Astyanax mexicanus: one gene and its partner. The protein of the gene in region 1 purifies or fractionates together with the protein of each later gene. This does not show direct contact. Links are inferred from orthologs where the notes say so. Each region holds a gene or a part of one and is shown on either strand. Other genes may lie near its edges. The genes, in order: cfap20 and CLK4-associating serine/arginine rich protein.

Region 1 (7,090 bases):
GATCACTATTGTATTCTTTGCCATATTACCCAGTCCTATATGCACACATACAGGCCTACAGTTGGTACACAAATAAAAGTACCGGTGTTGGTGTGAACTTACCTTTGCTTTGTTTTGAACTGGCAAATAAAGCTTAAACTCTGCCGGGAGCTCATCTTCCGAGTACAGTCTGTCAGAAAAGTACACTCTTCTTATGCGACAGTTGGCATGAATCTGCAAGATAATGAAGCTATTCATTAATTGAAATTAATAATATGTAGAATACTAATTCAGAAACTTCTGAGATTGCATTAAAAGTGAAAAGAAGTAAAAAGCAAACATAATAAATATGTTATTATTTATTTTAACGGCGCAGCTACCTGGACGTGTCCAACTAACCTTCTCGTTTACGCTGTGAAACTGCACCACCAGCTCATTTACAAGAACAGCAATGGTAGCATAACAAGAGGGTGTGTAAGCACATTGCCAAGATAATAATGAACGTCTGATGGTTGACTGCTGTCAGGGTTCATTTCAGTCAGTGGCGCACCTGTGTTTTTCAATGCTAAGATAGCAATACTCTAAAAATGTACCTGAACATACCCCATTTCCAGGCCACCACAACTAATACTTATTTTACTCTAGAAAAGCAGAATGTTAAGGAGGTGCAGTTATATTTAGAGGGACCTACTTTATGTGTTTATTCTTTTATGGTTGATTATTATGGCTTACAGCCAATTAAAACCCAAAAATCAGTGTCTCAGAAAATGTAAATATTATATAAGACCAATTGGTACTTTTGGCAGTGTGCCAGGTCCTGCTGGAAAATGAAATCCACATCTCCATAAAATACTGTATATAACACAGTAGATCAACACCAGCAGATGACATGTCTCTCTTATTATATTATATTAGTACAGGCAAAACAGCATGTCTTTTTTGCCTCCACTGCCCACCTGTACACGGAGCGTCTCAATGTAGTTGGTGCCGTACGCTCTTCTTGTGAAGTCCGACAGGTTGAACTGGATCTGGTTCCAGCCGTCATCCAGTCGCATGGGCATGGTGCAGATGAACGGCTTCACCCGGGTGGTGCTCTGGTAGTTACTCGCCCTGAATCTCCGCCGTACGTTCTTATCATCCAGCACCTGGGACACGGTGAGATATTAAAAGGATCTGTGATTAATTAAGGCACATCACAGCTCTTCAATAAAAGCATAAAACACCCGCACATATGCAGTAGCCTTACCTGAACTTCAAATGTGAAGTACTTCTTGAGGTTCTTGATGATCATAACCAGGAAGGGCAATTTGATGCCAAGGGTTTTCTTCGGATCTGCCGGGCATGTGATGTATGTTGTGCTGTGAATATGAACCAGAGTGTGAATAGAAGATATCCATAGCGATAAGGACTTGTAACCACAATAGTGAGAGGTGATGCAATTATATATATATATCCATTCTTATCTGGTGAGTTGTCTGATCACAATTTGACAGTGAGACAAGAGAGAGAAAAGTTTACACCTGGTATTTCCATGTGTACTGTTAATAACTTTAAACTGTATAAACAATAAGGATTGAAGGTTCTACTGTACACATTTAGTTGATCAGGTGGTCCTTTGGGGGTTCCACAAAAATATTCCAAGACACTTTTACAATGCAGATCAATATATTGCATTTTTCTGACACAATTTTTGACAAGTCAGAAGAGAGAAAAAGCCCTACAAGTGCCACTATAAAATAACACTATTCACAATCAAACATAAGAGTTGACAAAACCCATTATATAGACAGTGAATGCTTCCTAAAAACATAGTTTATCACTTTTAACAATAACATACTGTCATTCTGCCCACCCAGCTGACAGTCTGTTAATAATTGATGTAGAATTATATACAAACCTACTAAACTCGATCCTATTAATCCTATTAAACTATCCACAAAAAAAGAAATGTGTAAAATGATGATTACCTGACGTTGGTCCCCTCCACCTCCAGCACCAGTGACTGGATATCATTGTCTGTAATCCGCTTTATATGTCCATTTCTCACCTGAAAAGAGGAATCATGAGTTATACCCAGTGAACCCAGCCAGTTTCACTAAATCCATTTCTGTAAAATTAGTCCCACCTGTAGACTAGCTGATACCTGTAGGCTATATGGAGTCCATACAGGTAGAAAGGTAGAAATATTTAATAATTAAAGACGAAGCTTAAACATTCCCACGTCTAATAATGGTTCCTTTGGTTGAATTAATGACTACTCTAATTTAATAAATCATTTCCTAACTGTTTTCAGTTGTTCCAATTAAAAATAACTGCTCCCTTATTTTAACAATCCATCCATATTCAATTTAATAAATAGTTAACTAAATGTAATAATTAGTTTAACCTACTTTCCTCAATAGCTGAATTTCTATTTTCATTTATGAAGCCATTCCCTCTACTAGTGTGTTATGCCAGGGTAGCACAATTTGACAGAACACCGGCTGTTCCAGGTGAACTGATGTATTTTATGTAACCTAGCTAGTTATCGTTAGATGTCGGTTTACCTTTTTATCCCATATCTGAAGCGGTTTGCTCCCGATGCTGTAGAGGATGGACAGGAAGCCGCTCTGGAATGTGTTCTTGAACATGATTTTATAAAATCATATAAATCTCCCTCCCACACACGAACACTCTCTGCGCTCCACTGAAAACCGGTCCGTGTAGCAACAGATTCACCGCAGCAGAGGCGAGCACTGGTTCCTTACTGTAAATAAATATATAAAATTATTATTATAGTGTACGGGTTATAAACTCTTTTATAATGCGTTTAAAATTCACAGTCCCAGATAGCTAAGCTAACTAGCTAACTTCTTGATTAGCAAACTAAACAGATAACTTAGCTAAGCTAACTCAGTTTTCGAAACCCGTTAGTTATTACCTCCGCTCCGGTTGCTGTGAATTAAACGGTCGCTCTGTTAAAAAAGGCGGAATGTAAAATCTTCAGTCAGACGCAGTTTAACTCTGTGTCTCTGTGTGTTAATAATTCTGAAATTAATTCTGTCATATAATCAGTGCTGTAAACCCGGCAGATCTCCACAGCTGCTGCTGCTGCTGCTGCTCGGCTCTCGCTCGGCCCGTTGCTGTGATACAGGACGCGGTTCACTCCGGACCCTCAGTGTTGATGCGCCGGTTGTCCTGGTAGCACCACGCGCCGCGTCACTGCCCGGGGGGCGGGCTCTAATAATACTACTACTAATAATAATAATACTAATACTAATACTACTTCTACTACTAATAATAATATTAAAACTACTACTACTGCTAGTAATACTACTACTACTACTAATAATAATAATAATAATAATAATACTAACATTACTACTACTAATACAAATTATACTAATTATACTACTACTGCTGCTAATAATAATAATACTGCTAATAATAATAATACTGCTAATACTACTACTACTACTACTACTACTACTACTACTAATAATAATAATAATAATAATAATAATAATAATACTGCTAATACTACTACTACTACTACTACTACTACTACTACTAATAATAATAATAATAATAATAATAATAATAATAATAATAATACTAATACTTCAACTACTTACGGTAACACATTTTATAGTAAGTGAAATGCATCCTGAAATATATTTTATTGCTAATTTATTAAATTTATTAAAAAAAATGCATTGAAGTAATGCATTACCGTAATAATTTTGAGCCTGTGAGATTTAGATGCAGATGGCTTGACTGCAAACTTGGCTAACCCGTTGCTTATTTTTTAGGTTCATTTGTTTAACAGAGTAGATTTTATCCCCGTCTGGAAAATCAGTCTTTAAAGAATTAGTCAGAGAAATATCACATTGATTTATTTAATCAACGGACAAATTAACAAGCTGACAAAATACTTAACAGTGTTCAGTGAATTCCTTATTTCTGATCTGCTTTAGTGTACGACAACCATCAACATCATCTCACACACTGGTCAGACACAGAGAGGCATTGGTGCCTCCAAACCCGAAGGAGTTAGTGAGAGCTATTCTCGGGCCGTCAGTGCTCCAGGGCTGAGAAACACAGGGCACATAGTTCAGGTCGAACTCCGGTTCTGTTCGGTCCAGATTGAGAGTCGGAGGCAGGATACCATGGTAACATGCCAGTGCTGTGAACGCTGCCTCCAGAGCACCAGCGGCCCCAAGAAGATGCCCTGTGGCCCCTTTAGTGGACGAAACGGCCAGTAACGGGGATTGTTTCTGGAAGAGTTTCTTTATAGAAGCATTCTCTGCAGCGTCCCCTAGTGGTGTTGAGGTGGCGTGAGCGTTCACGTAAGTCACGTCTGAAGGCGATACGCCAGCGTTGCGTAGAGCAGCAGACATGCACCTGTTGAGTGAAGCAAATAAAGCAAAAATAAAGTTATTGCTGTGCTGACCTTGTATTTAAATATGGAGCTTAGGCTTGTTTATAAATCATTCTATAAACTACGAACAACATTTCTCACAAATTCCAAATCAAAAAATTGTCATTTAGAGCATTTACTTGCAGAATTTATTTTGTGAAATAGCTGAAATAACAAAAAAGACACAGATATTACAAATAATGCAAAGAAAACAAGTTCATATTCATAAAGTTAAAAAAAAATCAGAAATCAAGGTTTGGTGGAATAACCCTGGTTTTTGAACACATGGCATGTTCTCCTCCACCAGTCTTACACACTGCTTTTGGATAACTTTATGCCTTTACTCCTGGTGCAAAAAATTCAATTCAAGCAGTTCATTTTGGTTTGATGGCTTGTGATCATCCATCTTCCTCTTGATTATATTCCAGAGGTTTTCAATTTGGTAAAATCAAAGAAACTCATCATTTTTAAGTGATCTCTTATTTTTTTCCAGAGCTTTATCATCATATCAACACAAAATGGTAATTATGTTAGGCTTATCTAGTAGGCGGTTGTGCAAAGTTACCTGAAAGCTCCATCTCCATCTTCAGTGGGCGCAGTGATGTGGCTGGCATCTCCTGAGAGTCCATAACCCAGCACCTCAGCGTACACTCGTGCTCCTCTCTCCATAGCATGTCTGTACTCCTCCAGAATCAGCACCGCTGCTCCCTCACCCATCACGAAACCCTCTCTCTCTGGGTGGAAGGGTCGCGAGGCCAGCTTGGGCTGCTGGTTCCAGTTGGTGCTGAGGGCCCGTGCTCGTGCGAAGCCCGCTATGGACAGGGGACTTACACAAGCCTCCGTGCCGCCAGCAACCATCACCACAGCATCACCGTGTGCGATGAAACGTGCAGCATCACCAACAGCGTGAGCCCCAGTGGTGCAGGCCGTGGACACGGCGTGATTGGGACCCTTGAGTTTGTGCTTGATGCTGATGTGTCCAGCCGCCATGTTGACCAAAATACGTGGGACGAAGAAAGGGCTGACCTTGCTGTACCCACGCGTCTCAAAGGCTGCAGCGGTGCGGGCGATCTCCTCCAGGGACACCATGCCCATGCCTACTGCCACTCCTGTGTTTAGCTGCTCCTCTGGGCTTCTGGGATACCACCCACAGTCCTCCAGAGCCAGGTGAGCTGCCCCGACAGCCATGACTGTGGCAGATGACATGCAGCTCATCTCCCCTCTTCCAACAAACCTTTCCTCCTTAAACTCGCCCTCTCCATCTCCTCTAGGGACTCGTGCCGCCACTTTACACGGCACAGTTCTGTATTCCTCAGAGTCCAGTGCAACAATCCCACTCTCTCCATCGACCAGACGCTGCCAGGGCAGAGCCGTTCCTGTTCCAAGCGGGGACACAAGTCCAATTCCAGTGATGACCACTCTCCTGGGAGACTGTGCAGTACTAGAATGGCTAAGGTGGCTGTATTTCCTCCGAGATGTTTCTAAAACACTCGTACAGGTCCTTATGCAAAGGGCTCTGGACAAATGCTTCACTGAGAGCTTCTGCCAACATGTCACTGACATGTCTCACCAACACAGTCCTGGATAACCTGAATCAAAAGAGTACAAGTGTTTATTATGAGGTATTAAACATGAGTAGGGCTGCAACAATTAGTGGACATAATTAATAAAGTCAAATATAAAAAAATAAGGTAGAGGTACTCATTTCATTCACACTCACATTAAGTAAATTTCCTTACAGCAGACTTCATTAAAAGAAAAAAACAGCTAAAGAATATGAATAATAGACCTTTCAAAAGAGATACACCAATTACTTTTTTTAAAACTAAATATTTTAAATAGTTCCATAAACACTATAAATGGACTTAAAGAGAAGGCGATACTTTATTTTTAAGTAAAGTACTTGAAGAGATATTTCGTTATTAATATATTTCGTAATATTATTTAGTTTATATGTTTTGTAGGAGATGTGACAACATTTTACATCAAACATTTATCAATTGTAATTATTGTAATTAATTGTAATTAAAATAAAATATATATAATTTAATTTTGAATTAATGACCCTGGCCCTAACTAATAAAGCGGGTACTGACAAAATATGGATGAATAAACTATTTTATAGTGGTGCTGCTGGATTAACTACAGCACAGACAGTCTCTCACCTAAAAACTCAGTGCGCATGCTCCCCGTTGACCTACAGAATAGCTATAACATAAGCACCACATGCACCACACACAACTACTTATATTACCCTGTATTATCTGTAAAACGCACTGTCACAGTTTATATAACTGAGGTAAAACTACTTACTGTAACTGTGTTTTACACCTCCTATAAAAACACACGCAGCAGCAACCGTTCTGCAACAGGAAACACTGTCGGTTTACACACAGATCACCTGTCACAATAAAAGTCCCCAAACTCGTTCTTTTTCTGAGAGCAGTTTTTTTATAGATATTTCTCAGCGTTTTAATGATAAATAAAAATAAAATAAAACAATGATATATGATTGGCATATCAAATATTCATACTCTTTGAAAAATAATTTATATCACCGTACTTATAATAATAATAAAAAAAACAATAGAAACCTGGACATTCAAAAAATAAATAAATAACATATTTGATTTAAAAAATAAAATACATATTTTAAAATATTTTTTTACAAAAAAAACATTTCTTTACATGTGAAATACACTTTTTCATATT
Region 2 (7,537 bases), on another chromosome or scaffold:
GTATACTCTCTCACAGCAGGTAAATGGATCAAGAGGACTGAATGTTTAATCTGTTTACTGGCTGATTTTTGGGAATTTATCAGAATTGTATAATTGTGTACATAAACAGTTTAAACAGGTGTCTTAGAGAACAACAATCAGCATCGATTGCTTTAATATTTTTATTGTGCTTAAATTGTGCTTAGAGATATTTCTCTATTAATGTGCAAATGTCAATAAAGAGGTTTGATTTTTATGTTTTCTACATTTTTATTGTGTATTATTTGGGCCAATATGAGTATAAATTGTGCTTTGAGTTTAAATTTAATACTCAATAAAAATCAAGATTTACTCTGAATAACCACTTCATTACAGATATGAAGAAATAACTTTAATCTTCACCTTAAATACTTAAATATACATATTTTCTATTGTACATTTTATAATACATATATTTTTTTATATGGGTGTTTGTTCGGGTTTGCCATGTCCGCAGTACTGCTTTAAATAAATAAAGTTAAATAATTACTTTAAATGGTTAAATAAGTGCAGTCCTAGCTGAAAGTGTTGGGACCACTGAATTTTGAAATTATCATCAAAAAAGGGACATCAAAAGCTTTATAATACTTTGCTGTACTTTCAAAGGGACTGAAGACTATCAATAATATTAATTTACAGTAACTTAATATTTCTTATATTGTCTCCATAATTAAAGCTTAAATAAAAGAAGTAAAGTTTAATCTATCCAAACTGGTGCAGTAAAATATTACAGTAATTAAGATAATTTTCTTTTTTTTTTATATCAAAAATGTATATTTTAAACAGAAGAACAGTCACTGACCAACCAACTCAACCACGTTTTTATTTAAATACCAGTTGTTGCTAAAATCATGATAAAGATAAAGATTAAAAAGTGAATAAAAATAAAAAGTGATTTTAAGCTGGAAATTATTAATTACATGTAGTTTTTTTTTTGTAGTCTTTAAAATACATCAGTTTCTCTGATTTTGTTATTTATAGGTTTATGTTTGAGTAAAATGAACATTGTTGTTTTATTCTATAAACTACAGACAACATTTCTCCCAAATTCCAAATAAAAATATTCTCATTTAGAGCATTTATTTACAGAAAATGATAAATGTCTGAAATAACAAAAAAGATGCAGAGCTTTCAGATCTCAAATAATGCAAAGAAAACAAGTTCATATTCATAAAGTTTTAAGAGTTCAGAAATCAATATTTGGTGGAATAACCTAAAGCATCTTGGCATCATGTTCTCCTCCACCAGTCTTACACACTGCTTTTAGATAACTTTATGCTGCTTTACTCCTGGTGCAAAAATTCAAGCAGTTCAGTTTGGTGGTTTGATGGTTTGTGATCATCCATCTTCCTCTTGATTCTATTCCAGAGGTTTTTAATTTGTTAAAATCAAAGAAACTCATCATTTTTAAGTGCTTTCTTATTTTTTCCAGAGCTGTAAGATGAATAGTAAAAATAAATTAGACAATTGTGTTTTTTGTATGTTAAAAGGGCTTTGTTCTGATGCATTGTTCTGATGGTTCTGTTTGATGTTTGTGGTTTGGGTGTTTAAGCCTGGCCACAGTGCTGCAGGCCCGGCGGGGCCTTTAACTCCCAGAGCATCGGTTATAAAAGGGCTGAAAATGAGGCGACTGTGGTCTAGGAAGTCCCCCCTGAGTGACCACACTGGCGCAGAGGAACGGTCCAGCAGGGCGTCACATGACATGACTTCTGCCCCACCCAACAACCTTACCTAACTGAAAAACAGCCCCGGGGCAGATCTGTGTACCGAGCTCAGCCCTGTACTGAACTGAACCAGTGCCAGGCCTCCAGAGAACATACCTTCAGATCAGCACTAAAATAATACAGCAGATTAAATTAGACTGACAGGTCAGGAGAACAGAATGTGCTGCACTGAAAGGACCGATCGAGTCATTTGATTCTGATCATTCTGATTATTTGGATTCCAGGTACCACATTACCCTTATAAACTCCTAGAACCTGGCGTCCACATGTGTGAACATCACATTTTGGGTTGTTTAGACCACAACATTTAATGTTGCTCTACAAAGGCCTGGTGTCCACTTATGAGGCCATTATACTGCCACCTAGTGATTGTGATGGTGATTGTTGTATGTCTTTGTGTTAAATTAGCATTCAAATGAGCCATATTGCTCAAATCTATCTATCTATCTATCTATCTATCTATCTATCTATCTATCTATCTATCTATCTATCTATCTATCTATCTATCTATCTTATTTCAAAAAGTGGGCTTGATATAAGTGATGCAAAGTGATACAAGTGATCTGTAATACACCACATTAGGCACTAATGGTCAAATTTAAATAATTTAATTAAGATATATATGTAATGCCATCTAGTGGCTTTTTTGGTAGCAGCAGTGTGCACTATTAAAACAGCAATGTGCAACATAAAATAAATAATAAAAAAATACAGGAACAGTCATGTATAAAATAATAGAATAATTAGAGCCTTAACGAACTGAACTCTATCCTACTATAACAGTTAAACATGAAAAATAAGACTCAATCCCTGAGAATGAAGTTTTTTCTTTATTAAAGATATATTATTAACTTTATCTGAGAGAAAGATGCTCCTTAAGGTACCAAAACTATTAACATATTTGAGGCTAGACAAAACAACTGTTATTTTTATATTTGAAAGTTTTTCTTTAAGAAGATGAGAACGTCCACATTCTCTTAAGCAGTCACAAAATCCACGGCGTCGGCTACAGTGTGCTGCACGATTTGCGTAGCTTAGAGGGAGGGATCGTCGATCCTCTTTTTGACTTCGAGGCTCGAGACCATGACATAATTCCGATCGATTTTGATGAAATATCGGAATCGTGACACCCCTAGTGTTCAGACACAAAATAAGTGTTTTGCACATCATTACTAATTGCGACTTCATTGTGTTCTGGCGAAATTTAAAACTACAGTCCACATATGTGGACATAATTTTTCTCAGAAACTACATAATGTAAAAAGATAATACATGATAAAGAAAAGTTTTTTACACTAATCAGGTGCCAATTAGCCCAAATAGCAAAAAAAAAAAAAAATCAACTTAAAGACCAACACCACAATCAAAAATACAATATACTAGTGCATCTCAAAAACTGAGAATATAATTGAAAAGTTACTTTATTTCAGTAATCCAGTTCGAAATGTAAAACTCATATATTATATAGATGTATTAAACACAGAGTGATCTATTTTAGGCGTTTATTTATTTTACTGTTGATTAAATATTATGTTTTACAGCCAATGAAAACCCAAAAATCATTGTCTCAGAAAATTAGAATATTATATTATTATAAGACCAATTGGTACTTTTGGCAGTGTGGGCAGTGTGCCAAGTCCTGTGAAAAAAGCATTAAAAGTATGTTCACAAAACATTAGGTAAAGAATACTAAGTGCATTTTCTGTGTTAATATACTTACACTATATTTCTGTAAAAGCAATATGCTTTAAAACATATGTTGTGTTGATAGAAAATATATACTGCATAATAGCATTAAATAGGCTACTGCTTAAAGTGCACTTTAGTGTAGTTTAAGTTCTTTTTTTCAGTAGCATTAAGGTGTACACCATATGTGCATCAATATGCAAAGTAGTACATTTACAATATATTGTACTTTAAGTGTATTAAACATGATCTTTAAAAAACACACTTAAATGTGCTTAAGTTCGCAGAAGTTATACGAGAAAAAAAAAACACACTCAAAAGCACAATTTAATGCTTTTACGTTGTGTTTAAATAAAGCTTATTTACAATTGAAATATACTTAAGTTGCCGTAAGTAATATTTGGAACATATTAACATATTAAGCTCAAAACAAAAGAACAAAGCTCTGGACAAAAATAAGAGACGATTTATCAATTATCAAGAGGAAGATGGATGATCACAAGCCATCAAATCACCAAACTGAACTGCTTGATTTTTTGCACCAGGAGTAAAGCAGCATAAAGTTATCCAAAAGCAGTGTGTAAGACTGGTGGAGGAGAACATGATGCTGAGATGTATGAAAAAACTGTGATTAAAAACAAACCAGGATTATTCCGCCAAATATTGATTATTTCTGAACTCTTAAAACTTGAATATGAATATGAACTTTTTTTTTTCTTTGTATTATTTGAGGTCTGAAAGCTCTGCATCTTTTTTTTTTTTGTTGTTGTTATTTCAGACATTTCTCATTTTCTACAAATAAATGCTCTAAATAACTAAAATATTTTTATTTGGAATTTGGGAGAAATGTTGTCTGTAGTTTATAGAATAAAACAACAATGTTCATTTTACTCAGACATAAACCTATAAATAGCAAAATCAGAGAAACTGATTCAGAAAAAAATATTCAGAAAATTGTGAGCTCCGGTCCTGCAGGGGTCGCTGGTTAGTTCTGGATGTATCACTCCGCGCTGTGGACAGGGGGGTGTGTAGTTAGCTTAGCTTAGCTTAGCATAGTTTAGCTTAACTCGGCGACCTGTGCTCCTCTGCCTGCGCGCTCCGGCGGAATAAAGCAGCGATATTAATAAAACACGCTTCCATCTGTTGGGAACTAAAAAGCAGGTAAATATTAACAGTTTATATATATCAGTCCTACGGGGTGTGAGCGCTGCGGCTGGGGGGAAACTCTGCGTTTTAGCGGGTTAGGTGCAGAGCTAGGTAGCTTAGCATAGCTCGTTAGCATTAGCTACTGGAGCGCTAACGGGCGCTAATGCTAACTAGGCTAACTAACTCAGTTAGTTAACATAGGTTAGCTAACTAGCTTAACTAGTTAACTGTCTGTTTCTTAATATTTATATTTAATAAATATTTAATTGTATTAGTATAAATATGATAGTATTTAATATTTAGCTTGCTTAGCTTAGCTAGAGAACTGTTGGTAATCTCTGTAAGTTTAGCTAGCTAATTCCCCTGCAGCTTTAGCTCATGCATAGTAAACCATGCATTTAGCTAGATAACTAACGTTAAGTTTATTTAATATTAATTATCATTTAATATGACTCAAATGTAAGTATTAAATTCTATTTATTTGCTATTAATTTGTATATAGGCTGGTTGGTTATACTTACAGTAACAGTTTATCTTTGCAATCCAGTGGTAAAGCTGGAGTTAATGTTTAACTGGATTAGTTCAACTAGATCTGTGGAAGATATTAGCTAACTAGTCAATGTGAACTATCTAGGTTTGGAGTCATTATAATGATGATTATGATGATACGGCATCGAAAATATACATATATTTATAATTACATAAATATATTGCTAGAGTACCAGTCAAAATTGTGGACACACCTCTTCTCATTCAATGTGCTTTATTTCTTATTATAATTTTTAAGCATCGCAAATTTAATATTGAATACTATATTAAAGCTATACAGGGACACATGCTAAATTATTTTGTAAACAAAAAGTGTTAAACTAACTAGAATATGTTTTATACGTTATACATTTATAACTTGCAGAGAGACTAGGCACCTTGATATAACTTTCTAACTTCTAACTAAGTTTCGGCCAATTGTAGTTGTGCGGCCAGTGTCACTTTTTGACAATAATTGACAATAATTGACAATATTGACAATATTAGCCAATGCCAATGTTTTAAAAGAAAAAAAAATCCTCATCCAATACGATATGCTGGTGTATGGTATTATATGACATTACCCTTGATATAGTGGCTCTTGATACTTCACAAAGACTTGCTGTCTTGGTCATATATATATATATATATATATATATATATATATAGATATATATATAGATAGATAGATAGATAGATAGATAGATAGATAGATAGATAGATACTTTATTGATCCCCGAGGGGAAATTCTAGACATCCAGCAGCAGACACAAAGTTACAAATTGAATACACAAAGTTACAAAATAAAATATATAAAATATAAAGATACATATAAATACAATCAAATAAAAAAGTAGAATGTACAATGTAAAAGCACAGTCTTTAGTGTGAGTGTAATGTAGAATGGAGGTAGTGCAGCCAGTTGATGTGCATAAAGTGAGTATAACTGATGTCAGCCATACAGAAAGTGCAAATGAACAGTTATAATGATTTAAATTCAGCAGTGCAAAAGATACGTAAACAGTAGATGGATGAACTAGTGAATGAACTACTAGTGCAGAATAGGGTAGAACTATAAACATAGTGTTATAGCTGAGGGTGTGTCTTTAGTTTGAAAAGTCTTATGGCCTGAGGGACAAAAGACATATATATATGTATATGTATATACATAAACTGTAATAAAAATGTTAAATGTTTGACCATGCCCCCAGCATTGGATTTTGTGTTTGGAACTCTTGTATTGTTTTGTATTGTTTGTTTTTTACATCTAGAAAAATAAATTTCAGCAAGTGTGTCATTGCCACTTTTCTATTAGAATCAGCTCACACAGATGTGTGTTTGATTGAATCTCTTTCTGTACCAAACCAGCAGCCGTGCCACGACGCGCCCCCACCCCCAGCGGAGCTGTCATGTGGCAGGAGGCCCGCAAACATGAGCGCAAGTTGCGCGGGATGATGGTGGACTACAAACGCCGTGGGGAACGACGGCGGGAGTACTATGAGAAAATCGTGAGTAGAACTCACTGTAATATTAATGAATAAATTCCATTTCTAATCCATGTGTAATTAATATACCTTAAAGAGTATGCTAAAGAAATAGTGAGGAGTAGTGTGGGAGGGGCACTGGGTGATGTATGGGTTTAGGGGAAGGGCAGGAGGGAGAGCTGATTTGGCTGAGCATTGTGCCTCTGATAGCGGTGAGACGGAGCTGTCATTTTAAGACAGTTTATGTAGATCTAAAATATAATGGCATAACAGTAATTTGCATCATCAATGCAAGATCTTGGTAAAAAAAAATGAGTGCAACTCTGATTGAAATAAATCTTGTGATATTGCAACATTGCAGAAGCTTATTGAAACAATGCTACAGTGAATGCATGCACTAATCAAAGCTAAAGGCTTTTTCTTTTGGTGGCGACTTTAGCTTGGCAGTGTGATGATTGATTGATTAAGTGATTGAATTTATTTAATGATTCAGAAAGTACATACACAGACAAGACATTACGCACTTCAAATCATTGAGGATTAAAACACAGTAAAGCACTAAGGCTTGTTTCCATTGTGGTCCTCTACAAAAAACACCCATAATTAAACATCTTTACTGCCCACAAACACAAAACACCTACATAAAACATACTCAAAGATGACAGACAGCGAGGTGGCTTCTCTTATGATATTCCTTATGTATTTAGTACTCTCAATGTCTAGGGTCTATAAACAGTTTTAATATAACCATCTCATTAAAACCTGTTTAAAAACCTGTTTAAAAACCTGTTCCGATGGGCTACATTTAATTTCCATAGGTAGTCCGCTCCAAAGCAAAGCTGCAAAACAACGTAATGTATTCTTTACAAATTGGGTCTTAAATCTCCATGGAATAACATTTATTGTGGTCCTTCGTGTAAAATAAGAATGAGTATCTCTAACCGTAGTAAA

What was found.
Region 2: the proteins of cfap20 (region 1) and CLK4-associating serine/arginine rich protein purify together in Homo sapiens (affinity purification with mass spectrometry; 3 studies listed by BioGRID and IntAct, counting the BioPlex papers as one, with this or other methods). This does not show direct contact. The link is inferred for Astyanax mexicanus from reciprocal best matches to the Homo sapiens genes CFAP20 and CLASRP.

What each region holds. Positions count from the first base shown.
Region 1 is NC_064410.1:3,711,284-3,718,373, forward strand, and holds the start of cfap20 (cilia- and flagella-associated protein 20), read right to left. Parts: upstream 3,129-7,090; 5' UTR 2,900-3,128; intron 2,726-2,899; 5' UTR 2,610-2,725; coding exon 2,526-2,609; intron 2,027-2,525; coding exon 1,947-2,026; intron 1,338-1,946; coding exon 1,226-1,337; intron 1,125-1,225; coding exon 936-1,124; intron 214-935; coding exon 103-213; intron 1-102. Other genes in the region: oxsm (3-oxoacyl-[acyl-carrier-protein] synthase, mitochondrial), read right to left, coding at 3,960-4,362, 4,944-5,941. UniProt on the Homo sapiens protein: Cilium- and flagellum-specific protein that plays a role in axonemal structure organization and motility. Microtubule inner protein (MIP) part of the dynein-decorated doublet microtubules (DMTs) in cilia axoneme, which is required for motile cilia beating.
Region 2 is NC_064416.1:2,807,283-2,814,819, forward strand, and holds the start of CLK4-associating serine/arginine rich protein, read left to right. Parts: upstream 1-4,440; 5' UTR 4,441-4,589; intron 4,590-6,470; 5' UTR 6,471-6,511; coding exon 6,512-6,610; intron 6,611-7,537. UniProt on the Homo sapiens protein: Probably functions as an alternative splicing regulator. May regulate the mRNA splicing of genes such as CLK1. May act by regulating members of the CLK kinase family.